Linked DNA regions of Macaca fascicularis. The main gene of each other region encodes a partner of the protein of the gene in region 5 in a complex. Links are inferred from orthologs where the notes say so. Each region holds a gene or a part of one and is shown on either strand. Other genes may lie near its edges.

The links.
Region 1: CACNA1S (region 5) and CACNB2 share a complex: the UniProt entries of both Homo sapiens proteins name them as parts of the calcium channel complex. The link is inferred for Macaca fascicularis from reciprocal best matches to the Homo sapiens genes CACNA1S and CACNB2.
Region 2: CACNA1S (region 5) and CACNB1 share a complex: the UniProt entries of both Homo sapiens proteins name them as parts of the calcium channel complex. The link is inferred for Macaca fascicularis from reciprocal best matches to the Homo sapiens genes CACNA1S and CACNB1.
Region 3: CACNA1S (region 5) and STAC3 share a complex: the UniProt entries of both Homo sapiens proteins name them as parts of the calcium channel complex. The link is inferred for Macaca fascicularis from reciprocal best matches to the Homo sapiens genes CACNA1S and STAC3.
Region 4: CACNA1S (region 5) and CACNG1 share a complex: the UniProt entries of both Homo sapiens proteins name them as parts of the calcium channel complex. The link is inferred for Macaca fascicularis from reciprocal best matches to the Homo sapiens genes CACNA1S and CACNG1.
Region 6: the proteins of CACNA1S (region 5) and STAC2 are in contact, whole or in part, in a crystal structure (PDB 6B27), measured with the Homo sapiens proteins. The link is inferred for Macaca fascicularis from reciprocal best matches to the Homo sapiens genes CACNA1S and STAC2. Residues at the interface, in NP_000060.2 of Homo sapiens: Glu749, Pro750, Glu751, Ile752, Pro753, Ser755, Pro756, Arg757, Pro758; in NP_945344.1 of Homo sapiens: Tyr301, Lys302, Phe303, Gln306, Glu307, Asp310, Asn326, Asp328, Trp329, Phe340, Pro342, Asn344, Phe345.
Region 7: CACNA1S (region 5) and CACNB3 share a complex: the UniProt entries of both Homo sapiens proteins name them as parts of the calcium channel complex. The link is inferred for Macaca fascicularis from reciprocal best matches to the Homo sapiens genes CACNA1S and CACNB3.

The regions. Positions count from the first base shown.
Region 1 is NC_088383.1:19,404,166-19,407,960, reverse strand, and holds part of CACNB2 (voltage-dependent L-type calcium channel subunit beta-2), read right to left. Parts: intron 2,104-3,795; coding exon 1,981-2,103; intron 1-1,980. UniProt on the Homo sapiens protein: Beta subunit of voltage-dependent calcium channels which contributes to the function of the calcium channel by increasing peak calcium current. Plays a role in shifting voltage dependencies of activation and inactivation of the channel.
Region 2 is NC_088390.1:60,227,138-60,231,634, reverse strand, and holds the start of CACNB1 (voltage-dependent L-type calcium channel subunit beta-1), read left to right. Parts: upstream 1-1,598; 5' UTR 1,599-1,772; coding exon 1,773-1,856; intron 1,857-4,323; coding exon 4,324-4,410; intron 4,411-4,497. UniProt on the Homo sapiens protein: Regulatory subunit of L-type calcium channels. Regulates the activity of L-type calcium channels that contain CACNA1A as pore-forming subunit.
Region 3 is NC_088385.1:64,047,679-64,050,898, forward strand, and holds part of STAC3 (SH3 and cysteine-rich domain-containing protein 3), read right to left. Parts: intron 2,993-3,220; coding exon 2,920-2,992; intron 2,025-2,919; coding exon 1,927-2,024; intron 1-1,926. UniProt on the Homo sapiens protein: Required for normal excitation-contraction coupling in skeletal muscle and for normal muscle contraction in response to membrane depolarization. Required for normal Ca(2+) release from the sarcplasmic reticulum, which ultimately leads to muscle contraction.
Region 4 is NC_088390.1:73,473,882-73,478,353, reverse strand, and holds the start of CACNG1 (voltage-dependent calcium channel gamma-1 subunit), read right to left. Parts: upstream 3,007-4,472; 5' UTR 2,902-3,006; coding exon 2,673-2,901; intron 1-2,672. UniProt on the Homo sapiens protein: Regulatory subunit of the voltage-gated calcium channel that gives rise to L-type calcium currents in skeletal muscle. Regulates channel inactivation kinetics.
Region 5 is NC_088375.1:58,849,974-58,854,564, reverse strand, and holds the start of CACNA1S (voltage-dependent L-type calcium channel subunit alpha-1S), read left to right. Parts: upstream 1-1,576; 5' UTR 1,577-1,654; coding exon 1,655-1,806; intron 1,807-3,678; coding exon 3,679-3,784; intron 3,785-4,591. UniProt on the Homo sapiens protein: Pore-forming, alpha-1S subunit of the voltage-gated calcium channel that gives rise to L-type calcium currents in skeletal muscle.
Region 6 is NC_088390.1:60,248,981-60,252,775, forward strand, and holds part of STAC2 (SH3 and cysteine-rich domain-containing protein 2), read right to left. Parts: intron 2,562-3,795; coding exon 2,255-2,561; intron 1,244-2,254; coding exon 1,146-1,243; intron 971-1,145; coding exon 880-970; intron 1-879. UniProt on the Homo sapiens protein: Plays a redundant role in promoting the expression of calcium channel CACNA1S at the cell membrane, and thereby contributes to increased channel activity. Slows down the inactivation rate of the calcium channel CACNA1C.
Region 7 is NC_088385.1:55,627,998-55,632,322, reverse strand, and holds the start of CACNB3 (voltage-dependent L-type calcium channel subunit beta-3), read right to left. Parts: upstream 3,059-4,325; 5' UTR 2,652-3,058; coding exon of another isoform or gene 2,607-2,651; intron 1,946-2,606; 5' UTR 1,879-1,945; exon of another isoform or gene 1,755-1,878; 5' UTR 1,691-1,754; coding exon 1,637-1,690; intron 1-1,636. UniProt on the Homo sapiens protein: Regulatory subunit of the voltage-gated calcium channel that gives rise to L-type calcium currents. Increases CACNA1B peak calcium current and shifts the voltage dependencies of channel activation and inactivation.

The DNA.
Region 1 (3,795 bases), on a different chromosome or scaffold from region 5:
TCTCTGGGTTCAAAGAATAACAGCCCATCCTACCAAGAGATCTTTAGGAAGTAGTGTTACAGAAATATTCCCCTTATATAATCAGAAGTATTGAGAGAAAGAGATAAATATTGAAGTCTACCTTAAATATTTCATGTCACAGGACAATTTACCTTTGTGCAAACAGTTTTATAATTACACAGTGCGATGTTCACAGATGATTTCTCTACTTGTGTGATGTTGACAATTTATCTCTTGCAGGTGGAATATGTATCTTAAATCTTTATGATCTGCCTTCATTTTCCTTGATGGAATAAATCTGTCCTTGAACACCTCAAAGAAGAATATACATTCTGTTTTTCTCCTTTCCCCTTTCAGCACCAACCATCAAGAAGAGGCCCCGTAATAATCTAACTTCCCGGTGTTAAGTGAGATTCTAGGCACAGCATCACTTCTGATAACTTTTTCTATTGTTCCCACCAAGCCAGTATTTGACATCTCTTTTCAGAGGTTACCAAAATGGTAGGCTCTAAATTCTCTAGGTTGTTTTATTTTTAATCGAGATAGGGTCTTGCTCTGTCGCCCAGGCTGGAATACATTGACATGATCCCAGCTCGCTTCCGTCTTGAACTCCCAGGCTCAATCAATCCACTGGCCTCAGCCTCCTGAGTAGCTGGGACTCCCAGTGTGTGCCACCATGCCCAGCTAATTTTTTTTTTTTTTTGTAGAGATGGGGTTTTACCCTGTTGCCCAGGCTGGTCTCAAACTCCTGGGTTCAAGAGATCAGGTTTCCTTGACCTCTCAAAGCGCTTGGATTACAGGCATGAGCCATAGTATCCAGGCTTCTAGGTTCTTTTTTTTTTTTTTTTTTTAGACTGAATCTCACTCTGTCGCCAGGCTGGGGTGCAGCGGCGCGATCTCGGCTCACTGCAACCTCCGACTCCCTGATTCAAGCTATTCTCCTACCTCAGCCTCCCGAGTAGCTGAGATTACAGGCATATACCACTACACCCAGCTAATTTTTGTATTTTTAGTGGAGACAGGGTTTCGCCATGTTGGCCAGGATGGTCTTGGTTTCCTGACCTTGTGATCCGCCCGCCTTGGCCTCCCAAAGTGCTGGGATTACAGGCATGAGCCACTGCGCCCGGCCCTAGGCTCTTTTAATTGGCAGTCATCAACTCCTTTGCTGACAGCCTTTAGTGCAGTGAAGAGATTAAATTTACACATGCTTCCTATAACATATTATACCCTACATGGAAGGGCTCCAAGTATAAATTCCTCCAGGTCCAAGAAAAACCTCAGGATCACACACTGAGAATATTCTACAGGGGAAATTTCTGGTCAGTTAACACAGTGCTCCACAAGGCAGGCATTTGATAAATGTTGACTCCAAGCAAAGCTTAATTAAGGATGAATGTTTCCAGTTTGCAGGTTGTATCATTGCTCACTAAAAGGTGGAGACATTTAGCATGTGGGAAAAGGACTTTTCCTGATACCTCTTTGTTGCCTTACTGGCATCAATGCTTACCATTCTCTCATCCACTGCAGAAATTTAGCATTTAAGGAGGAAAAAGGGCATCAGTAGTTTGAGTTTAGACACTGCCAGCAGAGAGGAGTCACGAATTCTAGATATTATTATTAAACCTTCCCCAGATGGCTAGACTTCAGGCATCAGAAAACTACACCTAGTCAAGGTGAAACATTAAAAGAAGAAGTACAGGGTAAGTATAAAAAAGGATCATCTACTCTAGCAGTTCCCAATTTCTGGGCCACAGAGCCCCAGGGAGCGCTGAAGTTATTGCAAGAGGCCCGTGACTTCTTTCCACTTTAAAAGGTATATTTATATTAGCAGAGGTTGAGAGCCATTGATTTAGTATGTATGTTATACAACTGCAGTGATGTGTGATGCTGCTTCACAGAAATGGCATCTGAATAGGAAATAAGAAATGGTATGTCAAGGTGAAACATCATGCTGATAGAAAATGAAATTATTCTCCTTACTTCCTTAACATGCAGAAAATCTTTTGCTTCGAATGAGATGGCCATGCCAGGCACTGGAACATCATCTTCATGGGCCGCACTGTAGCTGACATTTGTCCGAACCGCAAATGCCACGGGCTTTGTCTAAAGTGGGAACAGAAAGAGGGAAAAAAATAAGAACAAAACAACAGTGTCCCTCCTTCTTCCCCTCAAATACAAAGATACACTGAATAACTGCTGTAATCGATGTTGGTTTCCCCGCTGCATTGGTTCTTTATCACAAAACAGTTTGTTCATATTCACAACACGTGAAATCTCCTAGCTCTGAGCTACGTAGCACCCATTTCTGAACTAGAAAAAGCCATTGTTCTCTTTGAAAGCACTACAAGTAAAGACGGCGAAGATGAGCCACAGAAATATGTGTTTTCAACATTGGCGCTTGTAGCAACTGTAAATCAGGAAACACAAACGTGAATAAAATGCCCAGTTCTTCGGTTTCAGTGGAAAGGACTTAGTAACTGCCTCACTACCCCAAACATCTACTTTAATTAATTCATCATTAATGACATAATTCCGAAAGGTACAGTCTTTTGAATGAAAAAAGAACCGGGGAATATATGCTATAACTATAGCAGCTCTTACTCATGGCTGCAACGAATTATGAAAGCCATGACCTTTTCTTCTATTATTTCTCCTCCTTGAGTTCGTTCAACTACTAAAGATGATATTAATTAAGCTCTCTTTCCTTCTTTGATGCTTCGAAATTTTACAGATAAAGGGCCGGAAGTGGTGGCTCACGCCTGTAATCCCAGCATTTTGTGAGGCCAAGGCAAGAGGATTGCTTGAGCCTGGGAGTTCAAGATCAGCCTGGGAACACAGCAAGACCTCTTCTCACTAAAAATCAAAAACAAAAATTAGCTAGGTGTGGTGGCAGGCACCTATACGCCCAACAACTTGGGAGGCTAAGGCAAGAGGATCACTTCAGCCCAGGGGGTCTAGGCTGCAGTGAGCTGTGATCACGCGACTGCACTCCAGCCTGGGGGACAAAGTCAGTCCCTGTCTCAAAAAAAAGAAAAAAACAAATCAAACCAAAAGAATTTACAGATAAGCATTTATTCTCTCTTTAGCTAATATCTATTTATCCACAAGGTGGAAAAAACAGGTAAGCTCAGAAATGGTGAAAATTGTATTGTTCTAAGTGGTATTGTATTTCTTTCCCCATTATGGGCAAGTGGATTGCTTCTATATATTTCTTTCTTTCTTTTCTTTTCTTTTTTTTTTTTTTTTGACAGAGTCTCACTGTGTAGCTCAGGCTGCAGTACAGTGGTGCAATCTCAGCTCACTGCAACCTCCTCCTCTGGAGTTCAATTGATTCTCCTGCTTCAGCCTCCCGAGTAGCTGGGATTATAGACGTGAGCCACCGCACCCAGCTAATTTTTTGTATTTTTAGTAGAGACAGGGTTTCACTGTGTTGGCCAGGCTGGTCTAGAACTCCTGACCTTGGGTGATCTGCCTGCCTCGGCCTCCCAAAGTGCTGGGATTACAGGCATGAGCCACCATGCCCGGCCTCTTCTATATATTTCTTATATACACCATATATACAAAGTAACATAGTTTTTCATGTGATATTCCTTTTAACCTATTTTTTTTTCTTTTTTTTTTTGTGGAGACAGAGTTTCGCTCTTGTTGCCCAGGCTGGAGTGCAATGGTACGATCTCGGCTCATTGCAACCTCCACCTCCTGCGTTCAAGTGATTCTCCTGCCTCAGCCTCCCAAGTTGCTGGGATTACAGGTGCCCGCCACCACGCCCAGCTAATTTTTTGTATTTTTAGTAGA
Region 2 (4,497 bases), on a different chromosome or scaffold from region 5:
ATTCTGGGGTTTAAGAAGTCTACATCTGAATTGAGGCTCCAACTCATCATTGGTTCCCGCTGATCACCCTATCCGTTTCATCTCAACTTTCCTGGCTGAGAAAGTAGAAGAAAGAGAAAGGGAATCAACATTTATGCTACTTCCTCACAACAACACAATTAGCGTTGCCCTCATTTTACAGCTGAGGTAACAGATTGAGAACGCAGGTATTTCTGATTGCAAAGCCCATGCTTTTGCGGTTATGCCAGGCTTTCTCCTCTCCAAGGGTCAGGTGGAAGCCGTGCTCAGGATTGGAGCTCTCCTGGAATGTTTCTAATGGGCTTTATCTTCACTCACTGCTCCTCCTTCCCGAAGGTGTTGTGATCAGAGGAATGACAGAGCGGCCATTCATTTGTTATCACAGGTGAGGAGGAGGAGTCCCATAGTCTCCTCTCCTGCAGAACACAGCAAGCTGGTGGCCTTATTTTAAGGTCGCTTGACCTGGAGAGGGTCTTCTCCACCTCTCCTTTCTGTGGAGCAGGGGTGGAGTAGGGAGGGAATGGCTGACTCCTTCATTGAAACTTACAGCTTCTCCAAACACCCTAGCAATTCATTTAATTCCCTCATCCTCCCAATAATCCCAGGTGACACAGACTCCACAGTGCCAGCAACCACATTTTATAGGAGAGGAGAAAACTGGTGCTTAGGTGGTTTGTCCAGGGCTATACAACCAGAAACAGCCTGAGCTAAATTGGCACCAGGGTCTATTGCCCAGAATCTCCTATTCCTCCTCTATCCACCTGTCTTGGTGGGTGGAGTCCAGACCTTGGATGTTTGTCCCTAAATCAGGGGTAAAGGTGGAGCAATTCTAGGTCAAAGGTCATGAGATCTGATTTTACCAGCCTCTTCTTTCTCGGCTCCATATTGCTTCCTCTTTTCTCATCCAACAGCAGGGACTTCGCCCAGCCCCATTCATGGCCTTTTGGAAGAGCGGGTCAGGGGTGGGGGCGTGTATCCTAGTGACCGATTAGGGCAGAACTCCTGGACCCCTGGGATTTCTTTTGCTGTCGCTGTTGGACACCGTCCCCATCTCAGCCTCAGCCTCCCACCGGCAGCCCCAGAGCCATGTTGGAGGGGTAGAGGCTTTTCTGTTTGGTTTAAGGCAGCCTGGGTCCCGCACTGGGGAGAAAGGAGTTAAAGCCAGGTCCCAGGATCACCGGGACCGGGAAGTTCTGGTGGCCCAAACAGGAGTGGGTTGGGGGGACCCGCAGGAAGATAGGTTTGAGACAAAAGGGGGCGGTGCTAGCCATGCCAGTCCGCGCTTCATCCCCATCAGCGCTCGGCATCCACTGGTAGACCGACCCCCGACCCCTTCCCCAAGTATCCACGCCTAGTTTCTCCCTTCCCGCCCCAGCGGGCCGCCTGCACCCCACAGCCAGTCAGAGGCCCACCTGCGGCCCTCTAGAGCCGAGAGGCGCTTGCCTCCCAGCTTGCCGCACGCCCATTGTGTGCGCCGAGCCGGAGGAGGGGCTGCGAGGGGCGGGGCCGGGGCGGGCGGAGGGAGGGAGCGAGGGAGGGGCGCGGGGAGATGCTGAGCCTGCTGGGGAGGCGGCGGCGGCAGTGGAGAGAGCGGGAGGAGCGAGGGAAGGCAGGAAGGAGGCAGCCGAAGGCCGAGCTGGGTGGCTGGACCGGGTGCTGGCTGTGCCGCGCTGCTTTCGGCTCCCACGGCCTCTCCCATGCGCTGAGGGCGCCCGGCTGGGCCGGGCCGGCGGCGGGAGGGGAGGCTCCTCTCCATGGTCCAGAAGACCGGCATGTCCCGGGGCCCTTACCCACCCTCCCAGGAGATCCCCATGGAGGTCTTCGACCCCAGCCCGCAGGTGAGGCGTGGTGGCCCGGCCCGAGAGGAGGGGGCCGCTCCCACGGACAGTGTTGAGGTCGGCTCGAAAGGCGCGGGAGAGGAAGGGGTTATATGCCGGGCGCGAAGGGGAGAGGGATGCCTGCGCGTCCCCGATCCTTGCAGGTTGTGATTGATGGGCTCTGGGCCTGGGGCTGGGTGGCGATGCTGCGGAGCGGGGAGGGGGCGGGTGGGCTGCCTGTCACCCTCGCCTCCTTGTCTCCCCCGCGTCAAGGTTCCTGCCGCTTGGGCACCAGCTTCAGTGGGCTGAGCGTAGGGGTGCTGGTGGTGGTGGGATCTGGGCCTTGAGAAGGGGAGGTTGAAGGAGGCTAGAAAGCGAGCCAGGCAAGGGGGGCGACGCAGAGCACGCTCGGGGGCGCCAGGCGGGTGTGGGTGGGGCGGGGGTGGCACGAGGAGGTGGCCAAGGCGATGGTCAGAGGGCGGTGCCAAATGCAAACAGGCCTTCAGAGCCGCAGACACTGGATCTTGAGGGTGGGGAAAGGGCCAACTCCGGGCGAGGTCCCCTCCCAGCCACCTGGGCTCCATCTCCATGTCGGACCTGCTCCCCTCCCCCAACACCCACGTTGACTTACCCCACCCCCACCCCCGCCCTGAAAACGCCTCCAAAGTTTGGAAAGTTGGATGGATGCCAACTCACTGCCCGGGAAGGGGAAGAGCTGTTTTACCTGGGGGAGGGGTCTACTTCTCCATCCCCACCCGCACACTTTTCTTACGCCCCTGGTAACCCCTAGGAAGTGGCATTCTTGGGCGCGGTGGGTTCCCATGGGGTGACCAGCAGGCTCTGGGATGGTCGCGCCAGGGGATTTCTTTGGGACTGTCCTTCTCCAAGGATAGCATTAACTCTTCTGTTACTGTGGCCACCAGCTGTAACCACCATGATAATGTGATTGATGGGTATGTAGAGGGGTCAAGTCAGACCTAAAAATACCTTCCTCCACCCCAGGCCCCTTTGAGCCTGGGAGGCAGCTGACTGGGGCCTTCCTTTCAGCTGTCCCCTGTCCCTCTGAGTGCCACTCCCTTTGCCCAGCCTGGCAGTGCAGGGGGAGGGTGGTGTCTGGGATTCACTGGGGAATCCTCTTAGGTTTGTAGGGAGCGCCAGAACTAGAGTTGGGGTATATGTCTGGTTTGAGAGACGAGTGGGGAGAGGAGGATCTTGGAAAGGTCCCCAGGTGCCCTCCTCTCCCATTTTCCATCCTCTTTCTTGTACCCTGATCCCAGCAGCCAAAGCCCCCAGTCTGGTCATGGCCCCTCCAGGTTCTTTGGCCAAAGAAGGTCTAGGATGGAGACCAAGAGCAGGGACTTGGAAGTCTGAGCCCTCACTCACTCTCCCCATTCTGGACTGGGCTGAGGCCAAGTGTGTGTGCGCCTACGAGATGGGGAGGGCCAGAAGCAGCTCTTCTTACAGGAGGCCTGGAAATACCTGACGCCCTTAACCTGAACGTGTTGCTTCCTCAATGGTCAGGCTGAGCCAGGAGCTGGGTCTGTGAGACTGAGCCAGCCAGTCTACCCGCTAGGGATCTGTGGGGCTGTGTCCTAGGCTCATGTGGGGTGGGGCCGAGGGATATTTAGATTGATATAGCCTGATGGGTACCATGCACATGGGGCGTTGGCAGTGGCAGCTGGGGGCCACAGGGTACAAGCTTCATCCCTCTTGCCTCCTTGGGGAGGGTTGTAGCTACTGTGATTGTGAGAGAGGGAGCTGAGAAAAAGTCCTGTCGGGGCAAGGGATGAGAGTGGGAAGCAAAATCTGCCCCTATGGTGCCAGGGATCGGGCTGGATGTTTACTCTCCAAATACAGTTCCATGCCCCTACTCCCTCCCCAGAAATCTGGCTCTGAGTCTCCAAGAGAGCTGTCATCCCCTCCCTACTCTGTGAATAGCAAAGGAAGAGTTGGGCACAGGGGAGAAGCCAGGCTGGGCCCTGGGTTGGCAGTTCCTCCTCTCTGGGGGCCACCAACACAAACAGCCCTGCTCTGCTCCTGCGGAGGGGGAGTGGGGGGGGACTTTCCCGCTCTCTCCCCCCGCCCCGCACACCCAGCACTGCCGGCTGCCTCTCCCTTCCTCGGAGGCCTCTGCAGCCTGCCCAGCATCTTAATTAGCTCTGCTGCCTAATGAGCCTCCAGCTTCTCCGTGCCTCCCCCATTCCCAGCCTCTCTAGCTTGGTTTGGGGGTTTCCATGTGGGCCTCCCAGGGCTCTCTTGCATTGGTCCCCACTCCTGGCTGTGCTCTGGGTCCTCTCTATGAGGATGGGAGACCCTCCCTCCCCTTGGGCCGCACCACCTCAGGAGGAAGGTGCAGGGGCTTGGGGGTAGGGCTCTTCGGATCTGGGAATGCTGTTCCCGAGCTTGGCTGTAGCTCTGGGGCTGGCAAGATGAGGGTTGGGAAAGGGCCCTTCTGATTCTACTCTTGTTCCTTTCCTGGCCTCTCCAGGGCAAATACAGCAAGAGAAAAGGGCGATTCAAACGGTCGGATGGGAGCACGTCCTCAGATACCACATCCAACAGCTTTGTCCGCCAGGTAATGGGGAGGCTGGGCAGAGAGGAGGGAGGTGGCCGGTTGGTAGAGACCAGCATTGGTGAGCCAGGTCTGCGGTATTCTCCAGGC
Region 3 (3,220 bases), on a different chromosome or scaffold from region 5:
AAAAAAAGAGCAGCACAATTTTTATAATTCCCTTAAAAGAATATAACCCAAGAGTATGTTAGCCCTTCTGGAAGCAGCCAAATCACACTGCTAGTGCCTTGTAAGTCAGAATTCACTCCATAGAAATCCCTTATCTGTGCCCAACCTCCATATCAACAAGTCTGAGGCCAGATTTCTAGTTCTGTTTTTTGCAGGTGATTTTTTGATCAAGAACAAATATGTACATTTATCTTTTCTTTTCTTTTTTTTTTTTTTTTTTTGAGACAAGATCTTGCTTTCTCCCTCAGGCTGAAGTGTGAAGTGCAGTGGCTCACTGCAACCTCTGCCTCCCGGGTTCAAGCGATTCTCCTGCCTCAGCCTCCCAAGTAGCTGGGATTATAAGTGAGTGCCACCACGCCCTGGAGATATATATATATATATATATAGTGTGTGTGTGTGTGTGTGTTTTCAGTAGAGACAGGGTTTCACCATGTTGGCCAGGCAGGTTTCGAACTCCTGACCTCAAGTAATCTGCCCACCTTGGCGTCCCAAAGTGTTGGGATTACAGGCGTGAGCCACCGCACCTGGCATGAACATACAATTTGTATCTTCATTATATCTAAATCATGTTATAACGCACCAGAAATCTCCCTCTAGCTGTATAATACTGAAAGGACCTGGACTCTGAGTACTGCCACTCAACCAATTTTAGGAGTCCATCTAACTGTAACCATCATCCATACTGGTCCAATCCTGGTTGTCCAGAAAGATATAAGAATATTCTAACAAATTCCATGCTGAACTGAATGCAAATCTATGGCATTACTAACCTAGAAACCCTGTTACAAAAGGAAATGAGGTTTATCTTGGCCAGTAGCTTTGTGCCTCAGTTTCATCATCTGTAAAATGAATGGGTCAGACCAGATGATCTTCATGGATCCTTGCATGGCTCTAGAATTCTCCAGTTACTTGGCATGACAAGTTCTCTTTCCTACATCCAAAAGCACAGCTCTTGCCTCTGTCACCCAGCAATGCCAAAGACTTTGGGCCTAGCCTTCATGTGGTTGTAGTGGCTAATCTGACTATTTCAGAAGGAAGCTGAGAAAACGTAATCTATGGCTAGAGTTCTTAACCAGAGGCCCATGGTGAGTGAGCTGCAGTAGGTCCCAAAACCCCCTAAAATTGCATGCAAAAATATTTCTGTTGGGTTATGTGCAATTTTTTTTTTCTTTTTCTTTTCTTTTTTTTTTTTTTAAGACAGAATCTCACTCTGTCGGCTAGGCTGGCGTGCAGTGGCACGATCTCGGCTCACTGCAACCTCCGCCTCCTGGGCTCAAGCAATTCTCCTGCCTCAGCCTCCCAAGTAGCTGGGATTACAGGCGTGTGCTACCACACCTGGCTAATTTTTGTATTTTTAGTGGAGACGGGGTTTCACCATGTTGGCCAGGCTGGTCTCAAACTCCTGACCTCAGGTAATCCACCCGCCTTGGCCTCCCAAAGTGCTGGGATTACAGGCATGAGCCACCTCACCCGGCCTTTTTTTTTTTTTTTTTTTGAGATGGAGTCTTGCTCTGTCACCCAGGCTAGAGTGCAGTGGTGTGATTTCAGCTCACTGCAACCTCCGCCTCCTGGGTTCAAGTGATTCTCTTGCCTCAGCCTCCCGAGTAGCTGGGATTACACACAACCATGCCTGGCTAATTTTTGTATTTTTAGTAAAGACGAGGTTTCACCATGTTGGCCAGGATGGTCTTGATCTCCTGGCTTCATGATCCACCCGCCCTGGCCTTCCAAAGTGCTGGGATTACAGGCATGAGCCACCATGCCTGGTCGGGTTATGTGCAATTTTAGGGGAAGATAATCCATTACTTCTGTCAGCTTCCCAAATGGGAAAATGACCTGCTCCATGGGATCTCTGGGAGGGACCTCGTGGGGAGGTACAGTGCTCACATTTTTTTTATCTGCCTGTCCCTTCTTCCGTTCCTTGTTTGCCATGATCACCCCAGTGCGCAGGGTTTCAAACACAGGGTCATTGCGATTGGCAGCAGCTAATCAAATTGGAGGAGAAAGAAGACATTATTGGGGAGGCAGAGAAAGGCTTGGAGGAAAGGAAGCGAAAGGCAGGATCGAGTAGATGGATACCCATGTGTGTGCTGGGTGGCAGTGGGGGCGCCGTGGGGGAAGATTAGGGAAGGGTCAGCTGAGCAATACCTAGGACACCGATCTAGAAAGGACTCTAAAAACATCACTGGTGATGTAATGTGAGGGAGAAAAGTATTTATCAGAACTCCTTCCAGGCAGAGCATTATATGACGTTTGAAAGACAACTTTGGTTGCTTGGGAGTTGAGACATGCTCAGAATCACTATTCTCCTTCTAAGGAGAATGGGCCCTTAACTTCTGGTTTTTGTTCTGCTGAATGGCATGTGTAAGCTGAGGTGCTGCCACCAATAGGTTCTTCTTTTTCACCCATGCTCTTCACAGAGTTCAGCCTCTGCTCCAAATAAATGTTGAGCAAATTTGTCAATGAATATACTTTTAAGGGTTGCCAAATTATGAACATGCCCAGGGTGCCTGCAGCCTTTGGGTCTTGCCCCAAGTCTGGTATGACTCTGTAGTAAGGATGAGGACAATCTAGAATCCTTGTTCTTGCTTAGAAATGATTTTGCACATGAAGAGCACAGATTCTGAAGCTAGCAACTGAAGATTCCAGTCTTGGCGCTACCTCTTGCTAACTGTATGTAGTTGCAACTAAATCTTATCTCCCTCTGCTGTAAAATGGGGATATTGCCTCTGCATCCAAATGGATATAAAAATGTTAGGTTGAGGGAGAATTATGGGAAATAGAAAGTTTCTGTTTCAGAATTTGGCTTCCAAAGCTAGAGATGGCATGAAACCATCTCTAGGCTTGCCCATTCCCTCATGTTCCATAAAGGGCACTTACAGAGATCTTTGATACAAGCGTACTGCTGGTTGCTGTAGAGTGGGGAACTATAGGCCCGACGGAAACCAGGCGGCTGTAGGATGGGATGGGAGGAAGCATTAGAGGTAGCAAAGTAAGGTCCAGAAGCCCATCTCTCCCATGAGTGCTCACCCTTTCTCAGAAAAAGAGATGGGCTGAGAAAGAAAAAGCAGAGAAATGAATGGGATGGAGGAGGGACCAGCAAGGGGTAGCTGGTGACATGTCTCCTCCTTTCTTTTTTTTTTGAGATGGAGTCTCGCTCTGTCGCCCAGGCTGGAGTGCA
Region 4 (4,472 bases), on a different chromosome or scaffold from region 5:
CAGGGAATCACCAGACAGGTCAAATCATGACAATGCTCTGGGAATGGGCCTTTGATCCAACCCCATTCTCTCCCCTCCAGAGGCTACTGGGATGCTGATTTTCGCTGTGGTTATGAATGTTGGTTTGCGAGGTTACCACAGAGCTGGGAAAGGGAATCAGGAATAAGTCAAGTTAAAACACCACAGAACTCACTGGTCCTCCTGAGATTCACCCATTTTTCTTGCTGGACTTTGGTTAATTTCCAGAGTTCTGAAAATGTTGATTCTGACCATTTCCACCAGCCTTCTCATTGCTTTTATGGAGAAGAAGATTTTTGGAAGTTCTTTTTCTCTATCATCTTTTTCGTGATGTCATTCAAAGTTGATACACGTAAAGCATTTACAACAATATTCGGCACATAGGGTTACATGTATGTGCCATTATTATTGTTGTTGTTGTTAATAATAAATGAGAGGCCACATATCAACCCGCTTCCTCCCTCCAGACAAGAATGGTCCCAGGGGGCACAAGAAGGGCATATGGGGAAGGAGAAAGATGTCCATTTGCAGAGAAAAGAGAGGGAAAAAGGTAGGAACATACTTTGGAAGATGACTGGGAGAAAGGTAGTGCTCAGTGTCACAAGTGTGGGAAGTATGGTTCATAGCTGGTTAGGCTAAGAAGGCAAAGAGGTAGATCCTGGTGAGGCTCAAGGCCTGTTGGTCCAACAAGCAATGCCTGTTGGTCCCCTGTAATTGGTCTAGTCACCTCTCACCAGCCTGTCTCTTCCTTGTGTGGACTCTGCTCACTGCCCAGTCCTCTGCTCTGACTTTAAAAGGCAGATGGTTCCAAGGACGGGTGAACAGGACTGTAACAGCACGTCCCTATGCGTGGTCCCTGAAGAAGCTGCCCTGCCCTGCCCTGCCCAGGGGAGTTGGCTGGAGGGATTGCCTGTTTATGGGTGTGCTTGGCAGTCGCCAAGGGGCATGGGCATCCGGGCTATGCGATACCCTGCCAGCACATGGCCACACCTGTCACCCTCAGCCCTGGGACTCGGTGTTTCTATAACAGTTGGGCACTTACGAGTCTTCTGGGCGTCCAGTGGGCGTGAATGAGGGAGGGGATCTCTGGAGCAAGCAGCAGGGAAAGAAGAGGGAGCAGAGATATGGGAGGATGGGGTGTTGGCTCTTTGGTTCACATGCAGACTGCAAGATCTTTGGGGACTCAGCCCTAGTGTCCTTGAAGGACAGGTTTCAAGGAACACCAAAGTCTGGTAAAAGAGGGAATAATCCTGAAAACCAGGTGGGACATCACACTGACATAACCCTGCTCCACTGCCACTGTGGATGGGCGTCTGTAAACCTGGGAAGGGATCTTACATTGCTGAGAGTCAGTCCCATATTTTATAGAGGAAGAAGCAGAGGCTGAGATGATCTTTGTCCTCGCTGGATGGTCATTTGAGGGTAATGGGCAATGGTGACTAGATCCCTGGCCGCCTGGTCTCCACGTAGCACCCTTTCCTCTAAAGTGCTGTATTTGCTAAGAATCCAGAAGCCTCGGCATTTGCAGAATAGAGGCTAGTCATGCAACTACCAGGTACTCCTGAAAAGGAGCTTACCTTCGACATGTGGTTCGGTCACATGGTAGGAAATCGAGGAACACGCTTAAATTACAGGGTGAGGAAATGCTTTGTAACTCTGACAGGGTCTGAGCTAACGGAGGATGCATAATGGACTGACGTCCTGACAAAAGGGCGGGCGGAGGCCAGGCACGGTGGCTCACGCCTGTAATCCCAGCACTTTGGGAGGCCAAGGCAGGTGGATCACCTGAGGTCAGGGGTTCAAGACCAGCCTGGTCAACATGCCAAAACCCCGTCTGTACTGAAAGTACAAAACTTAGATGGGTGTGGCGGCGCATGCCTGTAATCCCAGCTACTGGGGAAGCCAAGGCAGGAGAATCACTTGAGTCCAGGAGGCGGAGGTTGCAGTGAGCCAAGATTGTACCACTGCATTCCAGCCTGGGCGACAGAGCAAAACTCTGTCTCAAAAAAAAAAAAAAAAAAAAAAAAAAGGTAGGGGCAGGTGGCTCACCCACAGCCACGTCCTGCTTCACAGGCATTCAACCTGTGCAGCTTCTCCAGGCCCAGGGCCCACAAGGGTCCATGCTTGGATTCATGTGCTGCTATCGCTGCCTTGAAATCCTTGGTAATTTGGAGCAAGGAACCCTGCATTTTCATTTTGCACAGGACCCTGCATATTCCGTCGCCTGTCCTCTCTCCTCCCCTGCCTTGAGGCCAGGGACAAACCTGCCAGCTCCATGGTTTCCCCCAGCCTGAGGACACAGAGCCACCCAGCATGTCTTTGCAGGGAGAGAGTGACCAGATGGAGCCCAGAAGTCCCTGGGCTGGTAGAGCTGCGGTTCCCGTCTTGAGCCTGCCCAGCTCTCTGTTCTGGGCGAAAAGCCCCAGGGTCCAGCCAGACAGAAATAGCTGGGACAAACGCCCTCGTCTTACAACCCAGCCCCAGCCACCAGCACAGCACATGCAATTCAGATCTTCTTCCCTGGGCAGAAAGGGCTGGGCGGCTGCCCTATCTCTAGCCTGAGAAACCTGCCTTCCTTGGCATGGGCAAATTTGTCCGGGGGACGACGGGGAAGGGCGGGAGGTGGGGATCGGGACGGAGGGTGGGTACGTTACCCCCGGGCAGGGTGATGGGCCCGCAGGTCTTGCTGTCGTCCATGGGGATGCGCTTGGTACAAATCCGCCAGAGGCCGAAGTGGGCCGCCTCGCAGGTGGTGTTGTGGTGCTCCATGTGGGGGCTCAGCACAGCCCAGTGGTCGGTTACCACGGCCGTCATGGCCAGCACGATGCCTGCCAGGATGCAGAAGAGGGTCACGCGGACCTTCAGCGTTTTGGTCTGGGACATGGTGGTCGCCGAGGCGTGGGTGCCCTGGGCAGGGTCTGGCGGCTGCGTCTCCTCCGGCAGGTGACAGCCGAGCTGGGGGGTGGCGGTGGTTGTCGAGTTGGGAGTGGCCACTAAGTTTAGTGTGCCTGGCTGAGCCAGAGTGGGCTGGCCCTGGGGCTGAGGGACGCGGGATGTGCTGAGCAGCTGCCCAGACGCGTCAGGGGCCTGAGGAAGGCTGCTATTAATGCCCCTCTCCAGGCGTGGCACCGGGGACGGCTTCTGCTCGGGTTTCAGCGCTGTCTGCCCCTCTGGGAGCCAGAAATACCCCAGTGGGGGGCGGGGCAAGGAGAGAAGGCTCTGGATGGTGGATTGAGGCCTCTATGGAGTAGCAGCTCAGGGTGCCTGAGTTGGGAGGGGGCGAGGGGTGGGCAGCAGGGCCCCAGGGGTGGAGATCTGTCTGCTCTGGGCTGATGGGAAAGGGCACCCCAGGCCAGGGGAGGAGACCAGGAGCTGCAGGCTGCACGGCCGTCCCGGGCTCCCACATTGTAAGCCTACTACCGGCGGGGCAGTGAGTAGGTTCTCATCCTGGGATCTGGGGGGCCTAGGATTCTGTCTAGGGACATCCCAGGGACCCTGTCCGGGGCCTGTGGAGTCCACCTCTCAGGCAAGCGTTTTAGCCACAAACCCCACAGCATCCCGCAAACCACAGGAAGATTTTAGGTGGTTCCCAGGCCTGGCCTTACCCAACTCTGATCCCTCCACGAGAACATTACTTCCTTTTCAATTCTCTTTCCATCCCCAAAACTGGGTCCAGAGCAGAGCTCCGTTCGAGGTCAGTGTCATTACTGCCCGCAAAGTGTCCTCTGAAACAAAGCGAGAACGGCCTGAAGAGGACGAGGAATCCTGCTGGACTTGGTTGTTCTGTTTTCAGGGCACTGTGTTTGGTTTTGCCTTCTACTAACAGCAGGTGATAACGATTTTCCAGTTACGTTTTAATTTGCAAAATATGTGTGTGAGTGAAAAAGAACGAATAGGTTGATTTATAGGGGATCATCAGGAGCTCATGGGTGTGCGGATATGGCAGAGAACACAGAAAGCCTGGGATCGACCACCCTCCGAGGGTCCTGTGCGCCTGCCTGGCCCCCAGGCCTGTCCCCGAGGCTGCGGCCTCTACGTCTCTCCTGGGTTGTGCCATCTCTCCCTTCTCAGCTCACTGGGTGGCCCTTTTTGGGTGTAGCCGAGAGGCTGATGCATGATCAGGAATAGCCTCCTGAGCTGGATGGGGCCTTGAACTTCAAAATTCTTGCCTCAGATTGACACGATTTACAGAGACTCTGCCCATGTGGACAGAAACATTTCGGCCTCCAGCCTTGGAATCACAGAAAGTTCATGATGATGATAATAGGAGCAGTGGCTCATCTTCAGTGAGTGCTTACTATCTAACAGGCACTCTGCTAAGCCTTCATCCATCATCGCAGTTACTCTTCACACCAAATCCACAAGGGAACTGTGGCTGTTTTTGCCATTTCACAGTAACACAACTGTTACTGCCATTTCACAGACAAGGACATGGACACTCAGAGACGTGAAGT
Region 5 (4,591 bases):
GCTAAATAAAAGGATTTTTGAATTTTTCTCATTCCTAGATCATTGTCTACCCTCACCCTTCCTGGTGCCCCTTTCTCATTCCCACTCCTAGTCCAGAGTACTTGCTGGAAGTGTATGTGGGATTCGCTGTTAGCGCATTTAAGGTTCAGTGTTAGCTCAGGCATTCAATGAATTTTTTTTTTTAATTTTAATTTTTATTTTTATTTTTATTTTTATTTTTGAGACAGGTTTTGCTCTGTTGCCCAGGCTGGAGTGCAGTGATTCTATGCCTGCTCACTGCAACCTCTGCCTCCTGGGTTTGAGCAATTCTCCTGCCTTGGCCTCCAGAGTAGCTGGGATTACAGGTGCACACCACCACGCCCACTAATTTTTGGTATTTTTAGTAGAGTTCAGGTTTCACCATGTTGGCCATGCTGGTCTGGAATTCCTGACCTCAAGTAATCTGCCCACCTTGGCTTCCCAAAGTGCTGGGATTACAGGCATGCGCCACCGCGGCTGACCTCAATGAACTTTTCTTTTTGAGACAAAGTCTCACTCTGTCTCATTCTGTCACCCAGGCTGGAGTACAGTGGCCCGATCTTGGCTCATTGCAGCCTCAACCTCCCAGACTCAACTGATCCTCTCACCTTGGCCTCCTTACTAGCTGGGACTACAAACACACACCACCACACCCTGCTAATTTTTGTATTTTTTGTAGAGACAGAGTTTCACCACTTGCACCGGCTGGTCTTGAACTCCTGAGCTCTAGCCATTTGCCCACCTCAGCCTCCCAAAGTGTTGGGATTACAGGCATGAGCCACCACGCCTGGCCTCAGTGATCATTTACAGGGAGCATAGTATATGTGGGGACTGTGCAGAGAAGGGGCCAGAGTCCCAGAGATAAAGCCCACAACCTTTACACCTGTAGGGGTGGGAGGAGGTGAGGAAGAAAGATACACAGCAGATGCTCCACAGTGAGGCAGGTGCTATGCCAGAGGTGTGTACACTCAGGGATGTTCTGGGAGTCTTCCAGCCCACTGGAGAGGGGTTTACTGTTTCCCTGACATGGGATTGCTTGGGGGGTGGGTTGAGGGTATGTTTGGGGAGTCTTGGCTGATGGTGCAAATACTGAGCTAGGTAGAGGGTGCTGTGGAGCTGTCCTGACTTAGGCTGCCCAGTGCCTTCTCCAGACAATGTCATGGGGCTGAGGAGGGGAAACCTAATTTTGGCATGAGGGGGCCACTCTGCCGTTTGAGGTTCCATATCCAAGGCTACCGCTTCCTGATCTCTGTTGCCGCAGGCTTGAAACCTTCCATCCTGTCTCCCTCTCCCACTGCCCCTGCCCCATCCCAGGCCTGTGTGTAAGTTCTTCTCCCCATCCCCCACCCTCCTCAGGGGACAGATTGGGAAGCCACTGGCTGGACTGGATGGAATGACAGCTGTCTGGCCTCAGGAGCTCAGGCCCGGCAGTGGGGAGCCGAGTGGAGGCTAATTTTACTTGCTGGGAGTGGGGAGAGTAATCCTCCTGCCCCCACTGCTGCCCCCGCCCCCCGGCTGGCTCAGCAGGGCAGGCTCAGCCGACAGCCTCAGCCAGCCCAGTCCTCAAGGCGGGGGGCATTGGGGACGCAGGGAAGAGAGGGCACTGGGGAGGGGGAGCCAGATTCCCAGGGAAGCCATGGAGCCGTCCTCACCCCAGGATGAAGGCCTGAGGAAGAAACAGCCCAAGAAGCCGGTTCCTGAGATTTTGCCAAGGCCACCCCGGGCCTTGTTCTGCCTGACCCTGGAGAACCCCCTGAGGAAGGCCTGCATCAGCATCGTAGAATGGAAGTATCCTTCAGGGCCCAGGCCGTGGTGGGGAGCATGCATCATGGGGGAGGGATTCAGGGGTGATCACAGAGCACACACTTCCTACAGGAGGGCCAGGGAGGCCTGGGACTTAGACCTGGGGTGAACTCACAGAATTGAGTGAGGCTGGGGGAAGGAGCCCTCAGCTGCGCAGGAGAGGAGGAGGAGGAAGAGGAGGGAGAGAAGGAGGAGGGGGGAGGAGGAACAGGAAGAGGAGGAGGAAGAGGAGGAGGACTTGGTGGGGCTTCCTGGGCCTGAGCAGGCCACCCAAGTCCTGGGTGACAACCAGAGATGCCTACTGACCACCTATGGGTGGGGCCTGCTTCATGGGGACTGTTCCCAGGTGTGCCCAAATCCACATTATCATGGGGTGCCACTAGGTTTTTGAAGCACCAGCCTCATTTCAGAATAGGATAGGAACCAATAAAAGGTTCAATGGCCTCTTTGAGAAAACTCCCCCTTGTTTGGGTTGGGTGGCGGGTGACCCCTCTGGGGGCAGATCCCAGCTGAGGACAGAGCCAAGGGAAAAAATGGGTCTGAAAGACACCTGGTCTGAGTGGCTCCAAGACACAGGCCAAGCAAGCCTGGGTGTTCTAGCTCAGACGTGCCACCCTGGGGACAGAGACTTCGAATCTCATGCTGTGTTTGCATTTGCTCTGGGGGGAAGAATGCTGAAAATATCCGGGTTATCTGGGGAAGGGAGGAAGGAGTGACAGAGAGAAGGGGAGGGCTGTGTCAAGTGGGTTCTGAGAGCGAGGGTCGGGCATATTTGAAATATTTCTGAAGGGTTCTGGAAGGCTGGGCTCCTACCAACTGTTCCCTAGAAGGAAGGAGAATGAGGGATAACTAGAAGGACAAGACAAACGTGGGGCAAGTAGAGATATCTTGGGGTCAGTGTCAGCCTTGTTCCCTTCACCTGCCCTTGGCCAGTCGGTGAATCACCCACATCGAACCCTCCTAGGCCCTCCCTCCTTGCCTCTCTTCTGCAAACAGGTTTACTCCATGGGTTCTCCCTCTCCTCCATCCTCTGCTCCTCTGCACCTTCCCCTCTCGTAGCCCCCTGCCCCTGTGGCCCTCCTCTTTTCTCAAACACTGGAGGTTACTGGGAAGAGAATGGGATTTTTCTGCCAAGCCCATCTACATAATATGCCTCCCCATCCGCCCCCAAACAACTGCCTCGCTTCCTCCCTTGCTTTCTCTAGCTCTTTCCACACTTGCTGCCTAATGGGTCAGAAAGTCAAGAAAGCCATGGACCTGGGGTACCCTCTAGAAATGGCTGTGGGTGGGTGTGTCTGGGAGGGGCGAGGTGTGATGGGTGTGAGCACGAGCACACCAGCATGCACACATGGCTCTGGAAATTCATCGTTCATCTCTCCATCCCTCATTCCCAGTCCTGCTCGGTGAGTTCTCAACCTTACCCCGCAGCAACCCTTACCCTCCCGTGCCATTTCTCTGGGTGAGCCTCTGTGGATTGGCCAGAATCTGGGAAAGTCATGGCTCCCTGGGAGGAGGCGAGGGCGTAGACAGGCACTGAGAGTGGAGCGGTGTGAAGACCCCCTAGGCCTTAAAGCTGAGTAGCCCTTAGCCAGGGACCAGACCTTTACCATTCCAAGGAGTCTATGTGAAAGCGACTTGTTCCTGAGGAAAGGGAGCCAGTTGTCAAGGCAGGAACCTGGTCCTCACTGTATCCTGCAGGTGCTCAGGGAAGGAGCATCGTGGGTGAGTGTCCAACAGCCTGTCCACCTGCCTGGCATCAGAGTCACAGTCCAAACTGACCCTCAGCGCCCTCTTCCCCTTAACCCTGTAAGTCCCATGCCCCTGTGGCCCAAGGGCTCTCCTTAACCCTGGCTCCAGGCCCTTCGAGACGATCATCTTGCTTACCATCTTTGCCAACTGTGTGGCCTTGGCCGTGTACCTGCCCATGCCAGAAGATGACAACAACTCTCTGAACCTCGGCCTGGTAAGATTGGCTCTTCCATCCCCCTTCCTGCCGGCCTGCAGCCCCAGGCTTGGGGAGGCCCCCTTGGTGGACTCTGTTCTGGGGGATGGTGCTGGTGGTTTAACTCCCTGCATCCCCACCCACCTGCAGGGCTGGCTGAGTGGCTCAACAGGTTTCCAGGGTCAACGTGCTTATTCTAGATTCTGTGACATTGTCAGCCAGCACTGAGCACACAGTCATTGGTCCCGGGCACTGTGCTAATACCGGATGAGAGTAAACTCATTTAATCTTCACAACCACCTCATAAAGTGGTTCCATTTGATAGATGTGGAAACTGAGGCTTCGTAAGGTCAGCTAGTGAACCACAGAGGTTGAATGCTAATTTCCCTTCCCTAGATGTAATTCATAAGAAACTTGTGTCCACTAAGTTTGCCTTCATGGGAGAGTTTTATCCAGGAATCTGAAGCAAGAACATGTTTTAGAGTTCTACAATACCACTTTCTCTTCACCCCTTCATCGGTAACACATACCTGGAACCATAAAATGCCGGGGCTGGAAGGGATATTCAAAAATTAGGCTGTCCTACCTCCTCCCCACCTGATTCTGTTTTATGGATGAGGAAATTGAGGCCTAGATAGCTTCAAGGACTTACTTACCCAATAGTTAATTTATAATAAAAATGGTTAGCATTTAGTAAGTACTTATTAAATGCCAGGATTTGAGCTAAATATTTTACATTATTTTATTATTTAATCCCCATAACTACTCCTGTGGGGTAAGTAACATTATTAGACCCATTTAAAAGACAAGGAGACTGATATTCAGAGA
Region 6 (3,795 bases), on a different chromosome or scaffold from region 5:
TTTTAGTAGAGACGGGGTTTCACTGTGGTCTCGATCTCCTGACCTTGTGATCCGCCCGCCTCGGCCTCCCAAAGTGCTGGGATTACAGGCTTGAGCCACCGCGCCCGGCCTGAGCTTTTTCTTTTCTCTTAATTTAGAGACAGGGTCTCACCATGTTGCCTAGGCTGGACTGCAACTCCTGGGCTCAAGCAATCCTCCTGCCTCAGCCTCCCAAGTAGCTGGGATTACAGGAACGAGCCACCACACCCAGCTGTCAGCACACATTCTATGCTCTATTCTCTATCTTCCCCACTTAAGGCACTCATACTGATGGTGATTGATTGATGATTTGCATGACTGTCCGTTTCAGTCCTATCTCCTTTACTAGACAATAAATTCCACCTTCTTCACTACTGTGTCTCAGAGTCCAGCACTGTGCCTGGCATTTAGTACGTGCTTAATGAAGTGCTTGTTGAAGGAATGATGACTAAATGAATGAATGAACCCCAAATTCAGGACAGGAGCATCCAGAGAAGGGAAATGGTAGGAGAGCCAAGAACTGTCTGTGCCAACGTGACTCACGTACCCATCTCAGAAATGTTTCTTTCTTTCTTTTTTTTTTTTTTTAAGATGGAGTCTCGCTCTGTAGCCCAGGCTGGAGTGCAGTGGCGTAATCTTGGCTCACTGCAACCTCCACCTCCTGGGTTCAAGCAATTCTCCTGCCTCAGCCTCCCGAGTAGCTGGGACCACAGATGCCCATCACCCCGCCCAGCTAATTTTTTGTATTTTTAGTAGAGATGGGGTTTCACCGTGTTGGCCAGGATGATCAGGGATGTTGATTTCTCATCACACCACAGTGGGAGCAGGGACAGCGGCCAGGGCAGTGACAGTGGCACTCACCAGTGGGTGGGGACTCTTTGCTTGTGGCACAGGCTGGTGGCGGCTCATGTACCAGGAGAGGGGAGCTGAAGTTGCGGCGGAAGGAGGTGGACTATGGCAAGAGAGGTCACAGAGGGTTTGAGGAGGTCATGGCCCATGGAGAACTTGGTCCTTCCCAAGCCCAGGGCCCACCCCACAGGAAGGAGCAGCCCCGAGGGAGACTCATTCCCCCATGTGACAGTACTGGCAGCACTCAGTTGGCCATCTCTGCTTGGGTCCCCGCTCACCGTCTTCCCTGGGCATTGCTGGTGGGAGATCTCCTCAGAGCACCAGAGGTGGACGCTGACTTTGCACGTCTTACATCGCAAGCCCTGCTTGGAGTTTCCTAGGAAAAATTTGGGTTCAACAATTAAGGACACCCCCATGGGCAAAGGGCAAAGGAGGGGCACGTTATGGCACGAGGAGAGCAAGGGTTGGGCATTCTCGTGCCAGCATTGAGGCTCAGCACCTACCCCTCACACAGTTAGAGTATGAGGGAGCACGGAAGCCAGAGTCATTAGTAAATGCAGCAGTGACACTGAGTATAGCGCCACGCCTGGCGGTGCTCCTTTCTCCGCCTGGGGTAAGAGGCACAGTTAGGGGTGGGTGCAATGGCTCACGCCTGTAATCCCAGCACTTTGGGAGGCTGAGGCGGATGGATTGCTTGACCCAGGGTTTGACCAGCCTGAGCAACATGGCACAACCCTATCTCTACAAATAAAATTTAAAATTAGCTGGGCGGCCGGGCGCGGTGGCTCAAGCCTGTAATCCCAGCACTTTGGGAGGCCGAGACGGGCGGATCACGAGGTCAGGAGATCGAGACCATCCTGGCTAACACGGTGAAACCCCGTCTCTACTAAAAAATACAAAAAACTAGCCGGGCGAGGTGGCGGGCGCCTGTAGTCCCAGCTACTCAGGAGGCTGAGGCAGGAGAATGGCGTAAACCCGGGAGGCGGAGCTTGCAGTGAGCTGAGATCCGGCCACTGCACCCCAGCCTGGGCGACAGAGCAAGACTCCGTCTCAAAAAAAAAAATAAAAAATAAAAAATAAAATTAGCTGGGCATGGTAGTATGTGCCTGTAGTCCCGGCTACTCCAGAGACTGAGGCAGGAAGATCCCTTAAACCAGGGAGGTGGAGGTTGCAGTGAACCAAGATCGTGTCACTGCACTCCAGCCTGGGAGACAGAGCAAGACTCTGTCTCAAAAAAATAAAATAAAATAAAAATAAAAGAGGCACAGTTAGTATTGGGGCCCCTGAACAGCAAGAACCCAATAATATATTGGGCAGCAACATGGGCCCACTCCCCAGCACCCACGCCGTCCCCTCCCTTAGGCCGCCTCAGTGCCCAGGCACCTACCGACAATGAGCTGATGGCACAGCTCACAAGGGCTGGCTCGCTTGAAGACATGTTCCTGGAAGCTGTGCAGCCTCACTGGTTTGAGCGCTGCCAGGGGGCGTGGGACTGGGCATGGGGAGGGGGATGGGGTGGGCAGGCCCCTGTCCGAGGCTGTGGGTGGTGGGGAGGGAGGGGGCAGTGGGGTTGGGGGCGTCAGCAGCACCTCGGTGGGGCACTTGAGCTCAGAGCCCGAGCGAAGGAAGAAGTTCTCCACGCTCTTACTTCGGAGGATGGTCTTGAGGGAGAGGGAACGCTTGAATCGCTGGAGCTGAGAAGAAGAGGGAGCTGTGAGTGGGAGCCTAGAGGGGGCTGGCCACGGTGGGCTTCCCCTCAGGGTGTCTCTGGAGGTAGGGGTGGCAGCAGCAGCAGCATGGGGGCTAAGGGCCGAGCGAAATGAAACAGGGAGAGAGAGGCTCCCCAGGTCCTGACAATGCTTCGCAATCTCAGGTGCCACAAGAGCCCGGTGGGTGACCTCCGCGGAGAAAGGAGTTCTGGCCGGGCAATCAAGAGTGGCGGGGACTGTGGCAGTCTGGATGGCCAGGGAGTAACTGCAGACCTCCTCAAGCCAATTAAGGCTTGTCTATAAGGCCAGCCCAGTGTTGCCAGGTTTTCTAATTTTTCAAAAGAAATATAGACTTTTATGTGAAATTGGATAGAAACAAGTTTAAGAGGTTTAGTTCCATTTTTCCTTGAAGAAATGGTAGTATACTATATTTCCTGTGCCTTGTTTTTTTTCATAAACAGTAAATCTTGGAAATCATTCCATACCCATACATAAATAGATTCATCATTCTTTTTTATAGCTACAAAGTATTTTGTTGCATGGGTGTACCATTTACTCAAGTTTAAAAAAAAAAATAGGCGTGGTGTGGTGGCTCCTGCCTATAATCTCAACACTCTGGGAGGCTGAGGCCGGAGGGAATCCCTTGAGCCAAGGAGTTGGAGACCAGCCTGGGCAACATAGTATCCACCTGTGTTCTCGAACAGGCTGGTGGGGGGTGAGGAGTGGTCGTCCCAGACCCTCATCCTTGGGACTGATTCTCCCCCGAGAACATCTCTCTAGCCCTCCCCTCCCATTGATTCATCACCTCACAGCCCTTAGTTCAGGCCCTTATGCCCCAGCCTGCTTCAAGGCCACAGCCTCCCCTCCCACCCCCTGCTTCCACCTGCCCTCCATACAGCTGTTGCGGGGTGATACCTTCCTGGCTCCTCAGGACAGCGTCCAAGGCTCTCGCCCCAGCCGTGAGGCTCTCCTTGCAACTTAGCCAAACCTATCCTTCCAACCTGTGCCTTTACAGCCCAGAAATGAGGATTCTCGAACTCATGCATGCTTTTATGCCTCTGAGCTTTTGACATGTTTGTCCTCTTCTCTGCCTCACTCAGTCCATACCCTCTTTATCCTGCCAATGTGCTTCCACTGGCCCTTCCTCCTCCGGGAAACTGTCTTCTGCAGGAATTCTGCCTCATGACCCACTCCCTCCGCTGGTGTCCGCTGCATCCGG
Region 7 (4,325 bases), on a different chromosome or scaffold from region 5:
CTTAAGCCATCTTCCTACCTTAGCCTCGCAAAGCACTGAGATTATAGGCATGAGTCTCTGTGCCTGGTTTAATTTAGTAATTTTTTTTTTTGAGACGGAGTCTTACTGTGATGCCCAGGCTGGAGTGTAATGGCGTGATGTTGGCTCACTGCAACCTCTGCCTCCAGGATTCAAGCATTTCTCCTGCCCCAGCCTCCTGAGTGGTTGGGACTACAGGCATGCGCCACCATGCTAGGCTAATTTCTGTATTTTTAGGAGACACGGGCTTTCACCATATTGGCCAGGCTGGTTTCCAACTCCTGACCTCAAGTGATCCGCCCGGCTTGGCCACCCAAAGCGCTGGGATTACAGGCCTGAGCCACCTTGCGGCCTAATTTAGTAGTAATAACGCCTGGGGCATCTGGGGTTACCTGACCTCTCACCCTGGGATGGGAATCACAGGATCTCTCCCTAAATAATTTTTTTTTTTTTTTTTTGAGACGGAGTCTCACGCTGTTGCCCAGGCTGGAGTGCAGTGGCGCGATCTCGGCTCACTGCAAGCTCCGCCTCCCGGGTTCCCGCCATTCTCCTGCCTCAGCCTCCTGAGTAGCTGGGACTACAGGCGCCCGCCACCGCGCCCGGCTAATTTTTTGTATTTTTAGTAGAGACGGGGTTTCACTGTGGTCTCGATCTCCTGACCTTGTGATCCGCCCGCCTCGGCCTCCCAAAGTGCTGGGATTACAGGCTTGAGCCACCGCGCCCGGCCGTCTCTCCCTAAATAATTAATGAGTTGTGCTCAGAATGGAAGCCCCTCTCCATTACTTCCAAGTCCTCCAGGCTAACTTATCTCTCGTGCTCCGGTATTACTTCGGGAGGCCAGGGCTGCCCTGCCAGGCATGATCTAGGGTCTTACCTTTCCTGTACCCTGCTATGCCAAAAGAGCCAGAGTGTCAGTACTTTGGAGCTGCCAGGAGTTGGCACAGTGCCCTGGTGGTGCCCCCCTTGCCTAGTGAGTGTGTGGGCAGGCTGCAGCTCCTCTCTTGCCTGGCACGGGGGAAGGAGAGGAGGGAGATGAGCCGTTGGATTTATTTAGAGCCTGATCTCCCTCCTACTGCTTCAGAGGGGGCCTCAGGGAGAGCAAGGAGCCAGGCAAGAGAAAGGGAGGTGGGGGAGGGTGATCAGGAGCCAGAGAGCGATGGGAGGGAGCAATGGGTCAGCAGGCTGTCCTCCAACACCATCCACATGTCAGTCTGTTCCTTGCAATAGCCCTTGCCTTCTCACCAGGGATGGGAAGAACCTCCTAGGGCCCTCCAGCCCCACAGAGAGGTTTGTTCTCAAGCTCACCTTGGCACCCTGGGCTATACCAGCTGTCCCTTCAACTGTCAGAAAGAGGTGTCCACCAGAGCCTTGAAAATGATCTGCTCTAGCAGCAATGTAATTACCCCAGAGGCCCCATGGAAAATTGGGCCCAGAAGGAGCCCAGTCCCAGAAAAGGACAGTTGCCTATTCTGAGCATCAGCACTCATCTATCCTGGGCCTGGCAGCAAGTGATGGGAGAAGACTGGAACATACTCCTCTTTCCGACCCAGGGGTGCTCCATCCTATCGGGACCCCTTCCAAGCCATCTATTGGTCCACTCCTAAGGAGGCCTTCTTACAGGACATTTGAGGGAAAGTTGGCAGCTCCAAGGGTCTGAGAAGCTGCTCCGCATTCTTGCCCCATCTTTCCAGGCACTCTCCCTGCTGTCTGAGCTCCGGGAATCACTGCTTAATGAGCTGATTTGTCTCAGTGGGTCAGGAGATAAAAGCAAAGAGGAGAATTAAATATTTATTGGTTGCCTGTTTCTCTGAGCAAAGCGCATCCTCTCCATCCCCAGGCCCTCAGCTCCTCTGGCCTCACCTCCAGGCCCTCCATGCTGGGCAAGAGCTCAGGATGCCCGCTGCTCAGAGGAAGCCTCAGCAGGGGGCTGTGGAATGGATGGGGCTCAGTCACCTGGCCTACCCATGTGCTGGGTGCCCAGGTTTCAGCCTGAGAGGGAAACTGGGCTAGAGAAAGGGTGAGGAGATGAGGCAGTGCGCAGAGATGGAGGGGGTAGAAGGGAATAATGGAGCTCCTCAAGTTTTAGGATCCCTCTGTCTAAAGAGGCTGGTCCCTGGCTCCCTGGTGTCCTCTCAGCTCCCTAATGTGTTGTTTGCTTGAGGCACAAGAGGTCCGGAATGTCTGCCTCCCCAACTACCTCGGCGGCTCTCCTAGCTGTTGTGTTCAGACCCCAGAAATCCAGAATTTGGAACTCCAGACATGGCGTGTTCCCTCTCCAGAGCCTCTGTGCCCTCGGCCTCCAGCCCTGCCTCCTCCCACCCCTCTTTCCTGGGCCGTGGAGCCACCTGCTTGAGCCCTTCCCCTATACTGCCCCCTCTCTGCACACACCCGATGCCCCAGGGTCTGAGTCTGGGTCGCTGGGGAGCGCTTGGCATGAAAATCCATCTCCCCACGTTTTTAGAGCGCCCCCCTACACACACTGCCCTGCCACTGAGGCGTTTTTCAAAGTCCTGAACTGGGGGAAGGGTTGAAGGGAGAGGAGGTGTCACCCCAACTTCCCCGCCCCCACCCTCACCGTGGGCACTCACCGCCTCCGAGTCCTCAAACCCGGGCACGTAGGAGTCGTCATACATGGGGGAGTCCGGGTGGGGGAAGCGAGCGGCGCCGGGGGCGGGAGCGGCCCGGAGGCAGGGGCGAGGACTGCGGGCCGCGCCCGGGAGATGCCACGGAGCCCCGCAGCCCTGCGGGCGGCGGCGGGGAGCGAGAGAGCGCGAAGGAGGGAGCGAGCCGCGAAGACCAGCTGCTCGGAGCTCAAATCACCGCTCCCCCCACCCCACCCCCCCAAACCCAGCCGGTCCCACCCCGAGCGCGGCTGAGGAATCTGGCGCCCGCTCCTACAACAATAGTGCCCGCCCACCTGACCCCCTCCCTGGGAGAAGGCGGGGGCGGCGAGGGGGCGGCGGCCACCGGGGAGCCCGGGCCAGGCCCGGAGAGGGGAACGGACCCGTGCTGGGTGGAAGGTGGGTCCCGGAGCACCTACGGGGCCTTGGCGGCTGGGAGGAAGGGGAGGAGAGGCTGCGGGCGGGGCGGATCCAGGCAGGGAGGAGGCGGGGCGAGGAGAGATGCGGAGACAGAGACGCTCGGCAACCCAGGAACTACTCCGCCGGGAAACAAAGGGCTGCGGCGGGGGAGGGAGGGGGCGCTGAGACCGCGAGGAAGACGCGACCCGGGCGGAGACTGGAGAGGGCGCAGGTGTCGAGGAAGCCGGAGAGAGAGAGGCAGAGGGAGGACGGAGAGGACAGGAAAATGGGGAGACCCTGGGAGACAGAAGAGGCGCGGGAACAAGCGGCAGACGGGGGAGGGGTCCCAGGCGACAGCAGTGCGGGTCTGGGCCCGTGCGTCCCGGAGGCTCCGAAGCAGACCCCGCAGTAGTCCCGGGGAGGAATGGGCTTAGTGCCCCCAGGCTAATGCCAGGACGGCAACTCCTGCCCCAACAGGTGCCCGGCCCCCTCAGTACGGGAACGCTGCGGCAAAGGCGGTGTTGCCTAGCCCTTGAGAAGGGAGGAACTTTCCGTGAGCTGGATAGGCCTCCCCACACCTGTTGCACAGATAGATTTCGTCTTAGTCCGGCCAGGATGGGGGTTCCGTTCCCCACTTCCCTGCCAAGGATCGTGCCAGACAGTGCCAAGGCATCCGTGGGAACTGGGTCAGAAAGGGGCTATTTTAGGTGAGCCTAAAGGGAGGGGAGAGAAACCAGAGGGTGGTGGTAGGGGATAGTTGTGGGTGGGATCCTGGCTACACTGGGGTTAGGAGAGGAAAGGGCCAGTCTCCTCAGAGTCACTAGGGTAAGGCCAGATTCTCCCCTCAGCAGAAGGGCTTGTACCACTCTGCACCACTCAGTCTCCTTCACAGGAACACTGAGATTTGAGGTAAGAGAGCCGCAGCCCTTATATTGAGGAAACTTTCCCCAAAGATCCACCCATTTGAGCTCTCTCCTTTTTTCATCTCCTGAGCAAAATTCCTTCTTTGATTTTTGACTGCCTACCTTTGTGCCCCACAAGGAGGACGTCCATAGACAGGGGTACACTTGGAGGCCTCCTGGTGCCCATGCCCTTGGCCCTGAGCTCAGTCCTTTTCCTTTCCCAATTTCTCACACCCGGGAGTTCAGCAATCTGCTCATCCCTCCTAGGCTTGAGGAGAATCAGACATCCAAAACTCTGACATAGCTTAATAAGATCTGTGGTAGAAGGCACTGTGCATGGGAGAGAGAAAGCCCACCCAAACCAAGTGGCTTCCCACCTGGGTCA